Linked DNA regions of Alligator mississippiensis. The protein of the gene in region 2 purifies or fractionates together with the protein of the main gene of each other region. This does not show direct contact. Links are inferred from orthologs where the notes say so. Each region holds a gene or a part of one and is shown on either strand. Other genes may lie near its edges.

What was found.
Region 1: the proteins of VDAC1 (region 2) and BCAP31 purify together in Homo sapiens (affinity purification with western blotting; 3 studies listed by BioGRID, with this or other methods). This does not show direct contact. The link is inferred for Alligator mississippiensis from reciprocal best matches to the Homo sapiens genes VDAC1 and BCAP31.
Region 3: the proteins of VDAC1 (region 2) and cytochrome b-c1 complex subunit 2, mitochondrial fractionate together in Homo sapiens (co-fractionation; 3 studies listed by BioGRID, with this or other methods). This does not show direct contact. The link is inferred for Alligator mississippiensis from reciprocal best matches to the Homo sapiens genes VDAC1 and UQCRC2.

What each region holds. Positions count from the first base shown.
Region 1 is NC_081831.1:28,920,190-28,923,931, reverse strand, and holds the start of BCAP31 (B-cell receptor-associated protein 31), read left to right. Parts: upstream 1-1,429; 5' UTR 1,430-1,522; intron 1,523-2,592; 5' UTR 2,593-2,625; coding exon 2,626-2,717; intron 2,718-3,133; coding exon 3,134-3,234; intron 3,235-3,742. Other genes in the region: ABCD1 (ATP-binding cassette sub-family D member 1), read right to left, coding at 1-975. UniProt on the Homo sapiens protein: Functions as a chaperone protein. Is one of the most abundant endoplasmic reticulum (ER) proteins.
Region 2 is NC_081832.1:69,787,399-69,791,140, forward strand, and holds the start of VDAC1 (voltage-dependent anion-selective channel protein 1), read right to left. Parts: upstream 2,734-3,742; 5' UTR 2,650-2,733; intron 1-2,649. UniProt on the Homo sapiens protein: Non-selective voltage-gated ion channel that mediates the transport of anions and cations through the mitochondrion outer membrane and plasma membrane.
Region 3 is NC_081836.1:46,316,911-46,320,652, reverse strand, and holds the start of cytochrome b-c1 complex subunit 2, mitochondrial, read right to left. Parts: upstream 2,119-3,742; 5' UTR 2,116-2,118; coding exon 1,996-2,115; intron 1-1,995. Other genes in the region: CRYM (ketimine reductase mu-crystallin), read left to right, coding at 2,361-2,533. UniProt on the Homo sapiens protein: Component of the ubiquinol-cytochrome c oxidoreductase, a multisubunit transmembrane complex that is part of the mitochondrial electron transport chain which drives oxidative phosphorylation.

The DNA.
Region 1 (3,742 bases), on a different chromosome or scaffold from region 2:
CCGGGCCACAGCACCTGCCCAGGCTGCCACATCATCCGTCAGTGCCTGCTCAGGGGCCGCCAGTCGCCCATCCATGTGGCTAGCCCGGTAGTATGCCTGACCCTGGAAGTAGAGGGCGTAGGCCTGGGCTACCAACCGGCCTCGTAGTCCCAAGGCCAGCCGCCCTTCTAAATAGCGCAATGCACTGTTGACACCTGTAGCTGGCAAGGCTAAGAGCAGCCACCGCAAGAGGAGGCTGGCAAAGCGGCGGCCACGGCATCGCACCACAGCCCGGGCCAAGCGCCCGTCGAGTTGGGCAACATAGAGCGAGAGGAAGGTGCGGCTGGCCAGAGCAGCTGTGTGCAGAGCCAGGAGCCCAGCCTCAGGGCTCAGGGGGCCTGACAGGGCCAGTGCCAGGAGGCGCCTCAGACGTCGCCCAAAGACCGCATCCACAGCTGCCGGGGCCTTCCGCTCTGAGGGCCAGGAGGGCAAGGGGTCCTCTGGGTCACCAGGGGGTGTTTCCTGGTTGCCGCTGGAGTCCTCCCAGCCACGGGGGGGCATCCCCTGGGCAGCAGGGGTCACCTCCTGGCCACCAGGGGGTGTCTGGCCAGACTTGGAGTCTTCCAAACCACCAGGGGGTCTCTTCTGGCCACATCGAAAATCCTCCCAGCCACCAGGGGGCTCCCCAGCGCGCCGGTGGTGGTATAGGCGCCAAGTGGCCACAGCTGCAGCGGTGGTGGCTAAGGCCACAGCAGCCCCTGTAGCTGCGAGCTGGAGCCGAGCCCGGGGCATGGCAGGTGCCATGGCAGGAGGGCCCTGGGCTCCCACCCTATGCTGGCTACTACCCCGTAGGGCGCGTACTGAGCTGTCAGGGCCTGCCGGTTCCGCCCTTATCCCACAATGCCCTGCCCCCGGGCCACGGGGGCGGGGGAGCAGAAGGGAGGGCCCTGCGGCCTCCCCGCCCCTGTTGACCACAGAGACGCCCCCTTTAACCATAGAGACACCGACCCGGACCACAGAGACGCGGCTTTTCTAAAGGCGCTATGGCTCCGCGGGAGGCATCGAAGCCTCCGGGATCGGCGGTTCAAGGCTTGCGGGGAAAATATGTTCCCATCCCCCCACCGGATTTAGAGCGACTCCGGATTTGCGCCCCAATACAACCGAAAACGGAAAGGGGGGGCGGGATAACGCGGAGTGACTCTGGATTGAGCCTCGTGGGTTTCCGTCTGTGGGGAAACTTTTGCCCGAGGATCCGGGAGTCTGAGGTCAGAGTCCCACCCCCGGGAAAACGTGGCGCGGGGCGGGGAGTAAAAGAGCATAAGGTGCGGGTGTGAGGCCACTTTCGCCTCCATAGGTGTCATAGTGACCTTACTGCCGCTTCATTTAAGTGCTTCCGGTAGGGGTGGTGCTTCCGGCGGGATGACAACAGCGCTTCTAGTAGCATTGGTGGCTGGTGGGGGTGGGGCTTCTCTCCACTTCCTATTTCTGGGCGGGGGGCGTGGCCCGGTGTGGAGGTTGTTGATGCTGTTGGGGATCCTGCTGGGTGAGTGGTGTTGCGCGGTGGGTGGGGCAGGGGTCTGCTGCTACTGGGTTCTGAGCCCTCGGGGCTGCCCCATAGTAAGCCTCGGGCTGGGGGGGGGCTTGCAGGGGGCTGAGTCCCGCCTCTTTGACAGGTGCTTTGGGGGCTGCCACACACACTCAACCGTGGGAGAGCCTGCTGACTGGTTGAGCCTCTGGGGCAGGGGCTGGCAAAATGCGGCCTGCGAGGCCGTTCTATCTGGCCCACGTGGCCCCTAAAAATTTTAGAAAATTAATATTTGTCTGCCCCTGGCTGCCTGTCATGTGGCCCTTGATGGCTTGTCAAAACAGTAAGTGGCCCTCTGCCCAAAATAATTGCCTGCCCCTGCTCTGAGGGGTTGCGGTGGGGTAGGGGTTGCCAGAGATAAAGCTCCTGAGCCATGACGGTGCTGCAATACTGAGCCATAGGCAGTTGCTGCATAATGAGCCATCTAGGGGCTGCTCTGAAATGAGCCATTCAGGACTTCCAGTGGGGCAGAGGCTGCCATGCAGTGAGCTGTTAGGACAGCTGGGGGTGGGTACTACAGCAATGGTGGCTGCCAGCCCCCAAGTCTTGGGGGAGTCATAAACAGTGAGCCATTCAGAGGGGTGTATGGGGTAGGGGCTGCCAGATAGTGAGTAAGCAGGGGGTGTTGCAGTGGGAGGCCTGTCATGTGGGGTTGTATTGGTCCAGGGGCTGCTAGATAATGAGCTGTGGGGGGAGGTGCTGCATTGAAGGGATGGGCCTGCCACATCAGAAGACTTGGGTGGGAGGCAGGGGAGCATCCCAGGATGGTGGGGCCTGGCTACCCTGAGTCCTCCAAGTCCCCCCTCCCTTAAGCTGGGGCTAGCACCCCAACTCTTTTCCCTCTTCCCCCCACCCCCCCCCAACAAAAATTCTGGACCCATGGTGGGAGCCCAGGTGTCTGATTTCTGCCTGGGAGGATTGAGGGAGACTCTGTACCCAGACTCCTGGGTTCTCTGCAGGGAGAGAGGAGGGGGGGAGGCTGGGAGCCTGAGGGTGTCCCTGGCCTTCTGGCTAATATGGGGGGCTAGTGCTGCCCCCCCAGAACCCCTTCCAGCACCGCCATGAGCCTGCAGTGGACTGCTGTGGCCACCTTCCTCTATGCTGAGGTCTTTGCTGTGCTGCTGCTCTGTGTTCCCTTCATCTCTGCAACCAGGTGAGATTCCCCCCCCCTCCCCCACACCTGGGTTCTCTGGGGGTGGTATGGGTCAGGGGGGGGCAGGGCTGGGAGCTGGGGTTCTCTGTGTGGGGAAAGAAGCCTAGGGGTAAGAACCCAGACACCTGGGTTCCCTGGATGCAGGTAGTGGGCCTGGGCAATGGGACTGGGAGCCTGAACATCTGGGTTCTCTTGGGGTTGGGGGGGGGGGGGGGGTTTAAAGCAGGGTGGGGCTGCATTCCCTAGCTGGGTAGTGGAGCTAGGATCAGGAGGGGTTGGAAGCCCAAATATCTGGGTTCTCAGAGGGGTCCATGGGTTGGAGCAGGGGTGGGGTGATCCAGAGGCACACTGCTGCTCTTCTAGCTCTGGAGAACCCAGGCATCTGGGCCTGAGTCCCCTCCTTCTCTTCCCCCTAGGTGGCAGAAAATCTTCAGGTCCCGCTTAGTGAGGGCCGTGGTGACCTATGGGAACACCTTCTTCGTAGTTCTCATTGTAATCCTCATTCTGCTTCTAATTGGTAAGTGGTCCTGTGAGGTCACATGGGGGGGTGGGAGGGGCTGTGAGGTCATGGGAGATGTGCTTTTTGTAGGGTTAGCATGCAGTTATTAGTAGTCTTCTACCAGTGGGGTCCCAGAGGTCTGGGTCTAGGCAGGAAGTAGGGGTTGGATGTCGGAGCTGGGATTGTGTTCTCCTGGCCTAAGTCTCTGGGCTGGGCTAGAGCAGGGGACCTTCCCACCAGGGGGTGAGGTGCTACAAGTCGGGAGTAAAAGGCACAGGCAGGGGTGGAGGGCTGTGGGCTGGGGAGTGAGGGTCACCGGCAGGGCTGGGAAGTGCAGGTCAGGAGTTGGGGGAGGGGGCTTGAGTCCGAAAAGGTTGAGAACCACTGTTTTAGGGGGTACCTTAGCCCTGCCCCCTCCCATGCAGGGCAGAGCCTGGTTTCTCCTGCCTTCAAACCCTGCCCTTGGCTGCAACTTAACCCTTTTTGAGGGCCAATGGCCTGGAATCTCCCCATGGTGGGGCACCTG
Region 2 (3,742 bases):
ACCTGTAGGTAAATGTTTGCTTGCAGATAATGCAGGGGACTGGATCTAGTGGCCAGAGACACTCCTTTCAGTCCTCTGTTCCTATGGAAAAACGATCTACACGGAAAACAGCCATCAGTGCCTCAAACTACAGCTCCTGTCCAAAAAACAAGTCTGTTCAGGTATTGATCAGGCCCTATGGGCCAAATCCTGACACGACTTCTGCATGTGGTCAACTTAAAACACCAGCACTACCACTGAAATGATGTCTTCAACTAAACCCACACATCAGGTTCTCCAGAATCTGGAGCTAGGTACACACTTTGTGAACGCTTTGCCTTACACATGAATTAAGTGCTGAAGCATAAACTCTGCACAATTGTACAACTCCACTGAAGCCATATAACTAAGTCACCACAGTGACTTCCAACTTAAGCCTGAAGCCAGCCAGCTGTTGTACCCAAGCATGCTCCTGAGCCCCCGCAGCACCCCACGGACTTCATGAAACAGTTTGCAGGGGCTCACTGGTAGTTTCCTGAGCTAGCACACATGTTTTAAACCACCCCAAACCAACACATGACAGACCAAATAAACAGGCCTTAAATACTGATGTATTCCACATACTAGTGGTTCCTCTCTCTTTAGGATTTATCAAATAATAAACATTTTTAGGAGACCTTTAGCACATATGTATAAACCTAGTTTAATGATCTGTGTTTAGGGAATTAAGGAAATTTTTTTAAAGTGTCTGCTCTTGATTCTACAGGTGAAAATGCAGTAGATACAGACTTCATTTCACTGAAGCCTTTTCCTGTTTATTTGTATGATTTAAGATATATATTAAACCAAAGCCAGGGATACAATTCTCCCTGCCCCAGTCTGGTAGACAGTGGAATAATAGGCCCAGCTAGCCTAGGAGATACACTGTTACAGCACCAGTGTAGCACAATGCCACCAGGTATCAAGACACAGGGGGTAGCAGTGAGACCCTGACAAGGGCACCAGGCACTCTTTATGCCATACGATGTCTACCATGTCATCTACACACACCCACATCAGAGGAGTGGACCCATTAAATGTTGGTCCTCCAGCATATATTGTTTTGCTGATTCCTTTCCCAGGAGAAAAAAGCATTTATCATATTTAATCTTATATGAGCGTGCGTTTCATTTGCTAAATCACCAAAATTCCTGTTTGGGATTTGCCTTCTCGCTGCTTTGATCCTGCAGATTTCCTCCTACAGGAAAGTCACCCCCTGAACCGGGGACATCGCCGGCTGCCATAGCAACAGACTGATCCGGGCCACCCCGTTCAGGCCCCACCATACAATCAGACAGAAGAGTAGGAAGACGACAGAGAAAGAGTACAGAGAAGGATGGGTAAAAATGAAAGGAACAAGTAGGGAGTTGCATGAAGTTTGTTTTTTCTTGTTCCGGGTGGCATTTTTGAGAGGTCTGCAGTGTACAAGTCGGTCTTCAGAGAAAGTCTGAAAAATGTCACATGAATGAGAAGACAAAATTTTCTGTGATCCTCCAATACAACCTGAATTACATGGCTTCTGCCGTTGTTGGGCAACATCAAATCCAACATGGACTCGGTTTTACTGCTATCCCGGGAGGCCGAACCCAACAGCGTCGGTGAATTCTGCTCCGCTTGGAGCTGTGGTTTTTTGCTTTAACAAATAGCCAGGGACCATGTTGGCTGAGCCGCCTTACCACCACTGGAAAGAGTGGGTCCAAGCCAGGCTGTGACTAGGCAGAGGGGCGAGGGCACTGATTTAGTCCCTCTGCAAGGTACATCTCCAGCCCACCTGCTGCTAGGCAGAGGCAGACTCGCTTGCTGCTCCCCACTGCGGTGCCTGCCCCACAGAAAGGGAATTCACCTCTGACTCGGCCTGGCGAACCCGAAAGCTTGCTTAAATATTTTTTTCCAACTATTGAAGCTGGGCGAATAAAAGATTTGAGATTCACCCAAAGAACCTTGTCCGCCCGTGTCCTTAGACCAACACGGCTACGACCTGCACCCCTTCACCTCCGACAGGCGCCTTGCCCCAGATTAACATTAACCAAGACACGATGCTGAACGGCACGCGCAACCAGGGCGCGCTGCCCGCGTTCGCTTCTGGTCTCTCTCCCGCTCTGGCGAGGACTCGCTCGGCCCGATTCGCCCGCGTCTCTCACGCGGCGGCGGTGGCCCGGACGGGCTAAACCGAGGGGTCAGACCGGCCGACACCACGGCTGGGCCGGCGCTGCGGGTGGAGCCGCGGCGACCTTTGCTCCCTCCGGACCCGGGAACGGCGAAGGCGAGGCTACGCGTGCAGAAGTGAGGGGGGCTCCGGCGGCCACGCGATGGACAGACCTTTGTGCCACCTGGATGAGCCCCTCCAGGGCTACGCAGGCCCCGAAACGTGTGTCCCGGCCTGGCCCCCGGGAGAAGCGCGGGCTGAGGCTCCCTGGGGCCTGAGGCCGATGGAGAGGCGCGGGGAGCATCCCCGCGGGCCCGGCGCAGGGGCTGAGTCAGGGCAGCGAGGCCTCCCGGGCCCTGCCGCGCCGCGGGAAGGTCACCTCCAGCCCGCGCCGCCGCCCGGGCCGCGCCCGCCAGCCCGCGGTGCTCGGCGCAGGACCCGCATGCGAACCCCGGCCCCGGGATGCATCCCCCCGGCCCCGTTACCTGCGGCCCCGCGGGCTCCAGGCGCCTCCCTGCCTCGCTGGCTCGCTCGCTCGCACGGGCGCTGCAGCGGCTGCAGCCGGGCTCTGAGCGGCGGGGGCGGGCAAAGGAAGGAGCAGGGCGGAGGCGGAGGCAGAGCCCGGGAGGATGCGGGCGGGCCTGGCACCGCGCAGCAGGGTGGAAGGGGAACAGGATGTGCTTTTTTCCCCCCAATCTTGGACGACAAGGAAGCTCCCCCTGCCCCCTCCCCGGGGCAGGGGTCCAAGGAGCTGCCCAGCACCAGCAAGGGAGTGGGGGGAAGAAAGGGACGGGGGGGTGACACTGGGGTATGGGGACTTCTTCCTGCTGAGCGGTGATGCAGGGTCGGTGGGCGCGAGAGGCCGGCCGAGAGCAGGAGACGGCCGTCGAGTCGGGGGGCGAAGTGGTCCCGAATCAAGAGGAGAAGTCAAACCGGACCTTGGGCCTACAGAGAGAGCGGTGGGCAGACGGGGCCGTGGGTGAGAAGGAAGCGCTGAGGGTGACACAGGAGCAGAGCCGAGCCTAGCAGGGTGGCAGGGCCGTGGTACCCCCACAACGAGGAGAGGTCTCCGTGCTTCTCCCGCGGCGCGGGGCTGAGCCGCCAGCTCCAGGCAGGTCCCGCAGTGGGGGCCGCAGTCTCTCCGGGGCTCAGAGCGGTCGCGCCGTACCCGAAGGACGGCCCTGCACAGCAGGGTGGTGTCAGTACTCGGGGGGAGAGAGGCAGGGTTTCAGAGGACTCGGTGGCATTTTTGGCCGGAGGGTTTTATTTAAAGGGTGTTGGCCGTCTCCCAGGAGCGGTGGAAGAAGCAGAAGGGCATATGGAAGTAGACGAAGTCCAAAGTTATAGAGATAGTTGCGTTTTACATCATCACTTCCCGTTCCAGGTCATGAAGCAGCCATGGTGAGGATGACGAGCAGGAACCTCGGGTGAACTTCTCAGAGCCAAAGGCAAGGGTGTTTATGGTGAAAGGCCCTCAACTGAGAAACTCACTGCTACCAATGACCGGCAAGAGCCTAAGTCTCGCCACCCTCAGGGCAAGGTGGAAAGCTTCTGCAGAGGCGGTCCCCCTCGGTATCA
Region 3 (3,742 bases), on a different chromosome or scaffold from region 2:
TACAGCTGGTAAGTCTCTTGTGGTGGAAGGGGACGGAAGGGGTGTGGGGGGGGGTGCAGATCAAGGCCTCCACAGAGAAGGAGGGAGTGCAGCAGCGGCAGGGTGTGGGATGGAGGCACAGCTCACCTAGGGACCTAGGGGGGTGGCTCCCACCACTGTGTATACCCTGGGAGGGCACGGGGGATGGGAGGGACATATGCCCTAGATCTGGAGGGGGGGGGGGGGGAGAGGGAGGCTGGGCTAGACTGTGCTCGGGGTGGGTTGGGGCTTGCAGGCCAAGCCCTACAAGGAGGGCACCTGGACCTTTTCAGCCTCTGCAAGAGAAGGTTGAGAGGCGACCTTGTGGCTGCCTATAAATTCATCATGGGGGCACAGAAGGGAATTGGTGAAGCTCTACTCACCAAGGCGCCCCTGGGGGTTACAAGAAATAATGGCCATAAGGTAACAGAGAGCAGATTTAGACTGGACATTAGGAAGAACTTCTTCACAGTTTGAGTGGCCAAGGTCTGGAATGGGCTCCCAAGGGAGGTGGTGCTCTCCCCTACCCTGGGGGTCTTCAAGAGGAGGTTAGATAACCATCTGGCTGGGGTCATCTGAACCCAGCACTCTTTCCTGCCTATGCAGGGGGTCGGACTCGATGATCTATTGAGGTCCCTTCCAACCCTAACATCTACGAACGTATGAATCTCACAGTCCCTGTCCCAGTGCCATTGCTGCCCACCCTGAGTGAAGCCTGGCCCCACCCTGCCCTACACAGATCCAGGGTACATACCTCTCCCCCATGCCCTGCTGGGGTGCGCATACAGCAACAGGAGCTGCCTCCTCTTCCCCCCCCACCCCCCTCCCCCCCCAACAAGCCACAGCTCTGTTCTTCACCCTGCCCCAGCGCCACTCCCCTTCCACCACAACAGACTTACCAGCTGGACACAGCTGTATCAGAAATCGGATCAGTATTGGCTGATATACCTTCTTATAAAAAAACCAAAACCCCGCTATTGGTATCAGCTCCCAAAATCTCTAACAGTGCACTTCTAGTATCGGCCAATAGGGCTGGTCAACAATCACCCATCAGTATGGGCCCAAAAAATCTTTATCAGTGCGCTCCTAATTGAAAGGTCTCCAAACTGATGACAAACAAGGAGGAGAGCCTCCCAATCCATCTTAAAGAACCTACCCTGAGCTAACAAGCAGGACCAAAATTTCAAAATTGACATTTTTCACCCCCTCCCTCCCCCCGCCAATCTTCTTCAAAATCCTGAAAACTTTCAGGCTCAACTTTATTTCTCCACTTTTCAGGCTGTGAAGCAACGCTTGCTGCCACCGTGACTGAAAGCTGAAGAGAAGAAGCAAACTGAACCAAATATTACTGTTGCCCTAACAGGATCTCCGGGCAGAGACTCTGGCAGAAGGTCCCTACATATTCCTCGTGACACGGACCCCTGATAGGGATTCTGCCACAGCGGCTCCACCTCAAATAGACCTTCAGGGTAGGTTTTATCACAGTGAAGGGGATTGCAGACATCATTTAAAACTTCAGGCTTTTTCCTACTACTACTTTGTAGTTCAGTCACACCTGTAGCTGCCTGTCAGGGCCACAGTGGCAGCAAATATGGGGAAGGGCACGCGCAGCTAGAAGCGGTCACCCCCCGTTCTCCGGGGCCACTACACGGGGGTGACATGGGCAGGCAAGGAGCAACCTCCCCGCCACACGCTCGGCCCCGCCCCGCAGTCCTCGGCCGCCTCCCGCCGCGGGTGACCTTCAGCCGCGCGGCCCCGGCCCGGCCCGGCCCGACACCCAGCCGGGCTCGGCTCCACGCGACTCGCCAGGGGGTCCTACCCCTACCTCGGCCGCAGGGAGCTCGCAGCTGCCCCCGCCCCAGCGCCCCCTGCCCCACCGTCAGGCCGCGTCGCACCGTCTCCCGGCCCGAAAGGCAGCAGCGGCTCCTCCTCCTTCCGTCCCCGGCCCACTGCACTCCCCTATCCCGCCGTACGCACCGAGAAGGAGCGGGTTAAGGCCAGTAACCCCTCCATACTCTCCACACCCCTCGGCCCGCGGTGCCACAGGGAAAAAACAAAGATGACGGTAACAGGAGAACGACTCCGCCTCCCCAGCATACACCGCGTCGCTCCACCTCTCTAGCCACAGTGCCCTGGACTCTACTGCTCCGCGGGTGAGACGGGAGGAAGAAGGCCGAGCGCCCCCTACCGCGGCTCCTTGGGCACGTCCGGCATGCCCAGATGCGCGCATGCGTCAGTTCCGAGCCTCGCCCACCGCCGTGGGCCCACCCCCCACTCCCCAGCTGGGGGGCTACTTAGGGTGCAGCCCGGGGCCGCGCTTGGTTTGTGCAGCCGACGCCACCATGAGCCAGGACCCGCCGCTGTTCCTGGGCGCGGCGGAGGTGGAGCGGCTCCTGCAGCGCGCCAGCGATCTGGTGGCCCCGCTGGAGACGGCGCTGGCCAACTTCTCCCGCGGCCCCGCGGGGGGCGTCGTGCAGCCCGTGCGCACCGTGGTGCCGGTGCCGGAGCACGGCGGGTGAGCGGGGCTCGGGCTCGGGGGCGGGGGTGGGGGGACACAGCATCGCCCTGCGGAGCTGCGCTGAAGTTCAGCGGCTGCTGGGAGGGCCGGGCCCCGAGCAGGCGACTGGACCGTTTGCTGGAGACTCCTCGAAACGCGGGAGGTCGCGTCTAGTCCTGCTCCGAGCAGCACCTCCCCGGCTGTCTCGTCCCAGCCAAGGCTTTGTGGAGCCGGGACTTAAACACTTCTGAGGGTGGAGGAGATGCCACCACTTCTCTGGCAACCTGTTCCCACGTGTCACTACCCTTCTCCTGAGAGAGGCTTTTTTCCCTAATATCTAACCAGCAGTGCAGGTTTTTGGGAAATTTTGAAAGTTTTCCAATGCCCTAAATGGAGCGTGATCTGATGTAGCATGTTTGCTTGACTTAAAACTAAAAAAGTACCCCTTGTTTATTTTATGTCCCAGTATCCACAAGTATTCGAACTGAAATATTTGATTATTGGAAAAAATGAAACAGAGCACACTTAATGTGGATTAAATGTTATGTTCAAACAAATTCAAAACTTTGTGGAAATAAGTTATTTTTATTGGAATACTTGTAAAAATGTAAAGATGAGGTGCAATAGCATGTACTTCCCTGACATTGTTTGTTTAAATTTAAGATAAAAAACAAAGGTGCTGAAAACTGACACGCTAATTTTGGTACACGCTAAAAACTGTGCACGATGGGCTGAGCTTTGGGTTTGATTCGACCTGCACAGCCAATTAGGTGAATTCCTAATTTGGGTTTTAGTTTGGATTATTATGCCAGTGTATTTACCCTCCTGTTTACAAATCAGTAAAACATATGTACCCTCTCGCGCACTTCCTAGGGATAATCGCCTGAAAAAGATTAGTTACAACTTTGAAACTGCCAAACTTGCCTAATATTGTATTGGCATCCATTCACTGTTACTAATAAACATTATGAAACAATGAATTTTTAGAAATGCAAAATCTCCCATGGGAAAATAAAGCACTAGAACATTTCAGAAAATGTTCCACCCCATATTTAACCTAACTTCCCTTGCTGCAACTGGGGCAGTCTCAGGAAAAATCCCCTTGATCTCAAGAGGAGGAAATTCATCCCTCTGCCCCTGAAACTTTTGGATCTAGACCCTAACTCCCCTTGTGGGTCTTTCTGAAGAGAACCTGCCCAGACAGCTTGGAAATGGAAAGCAGTTGGA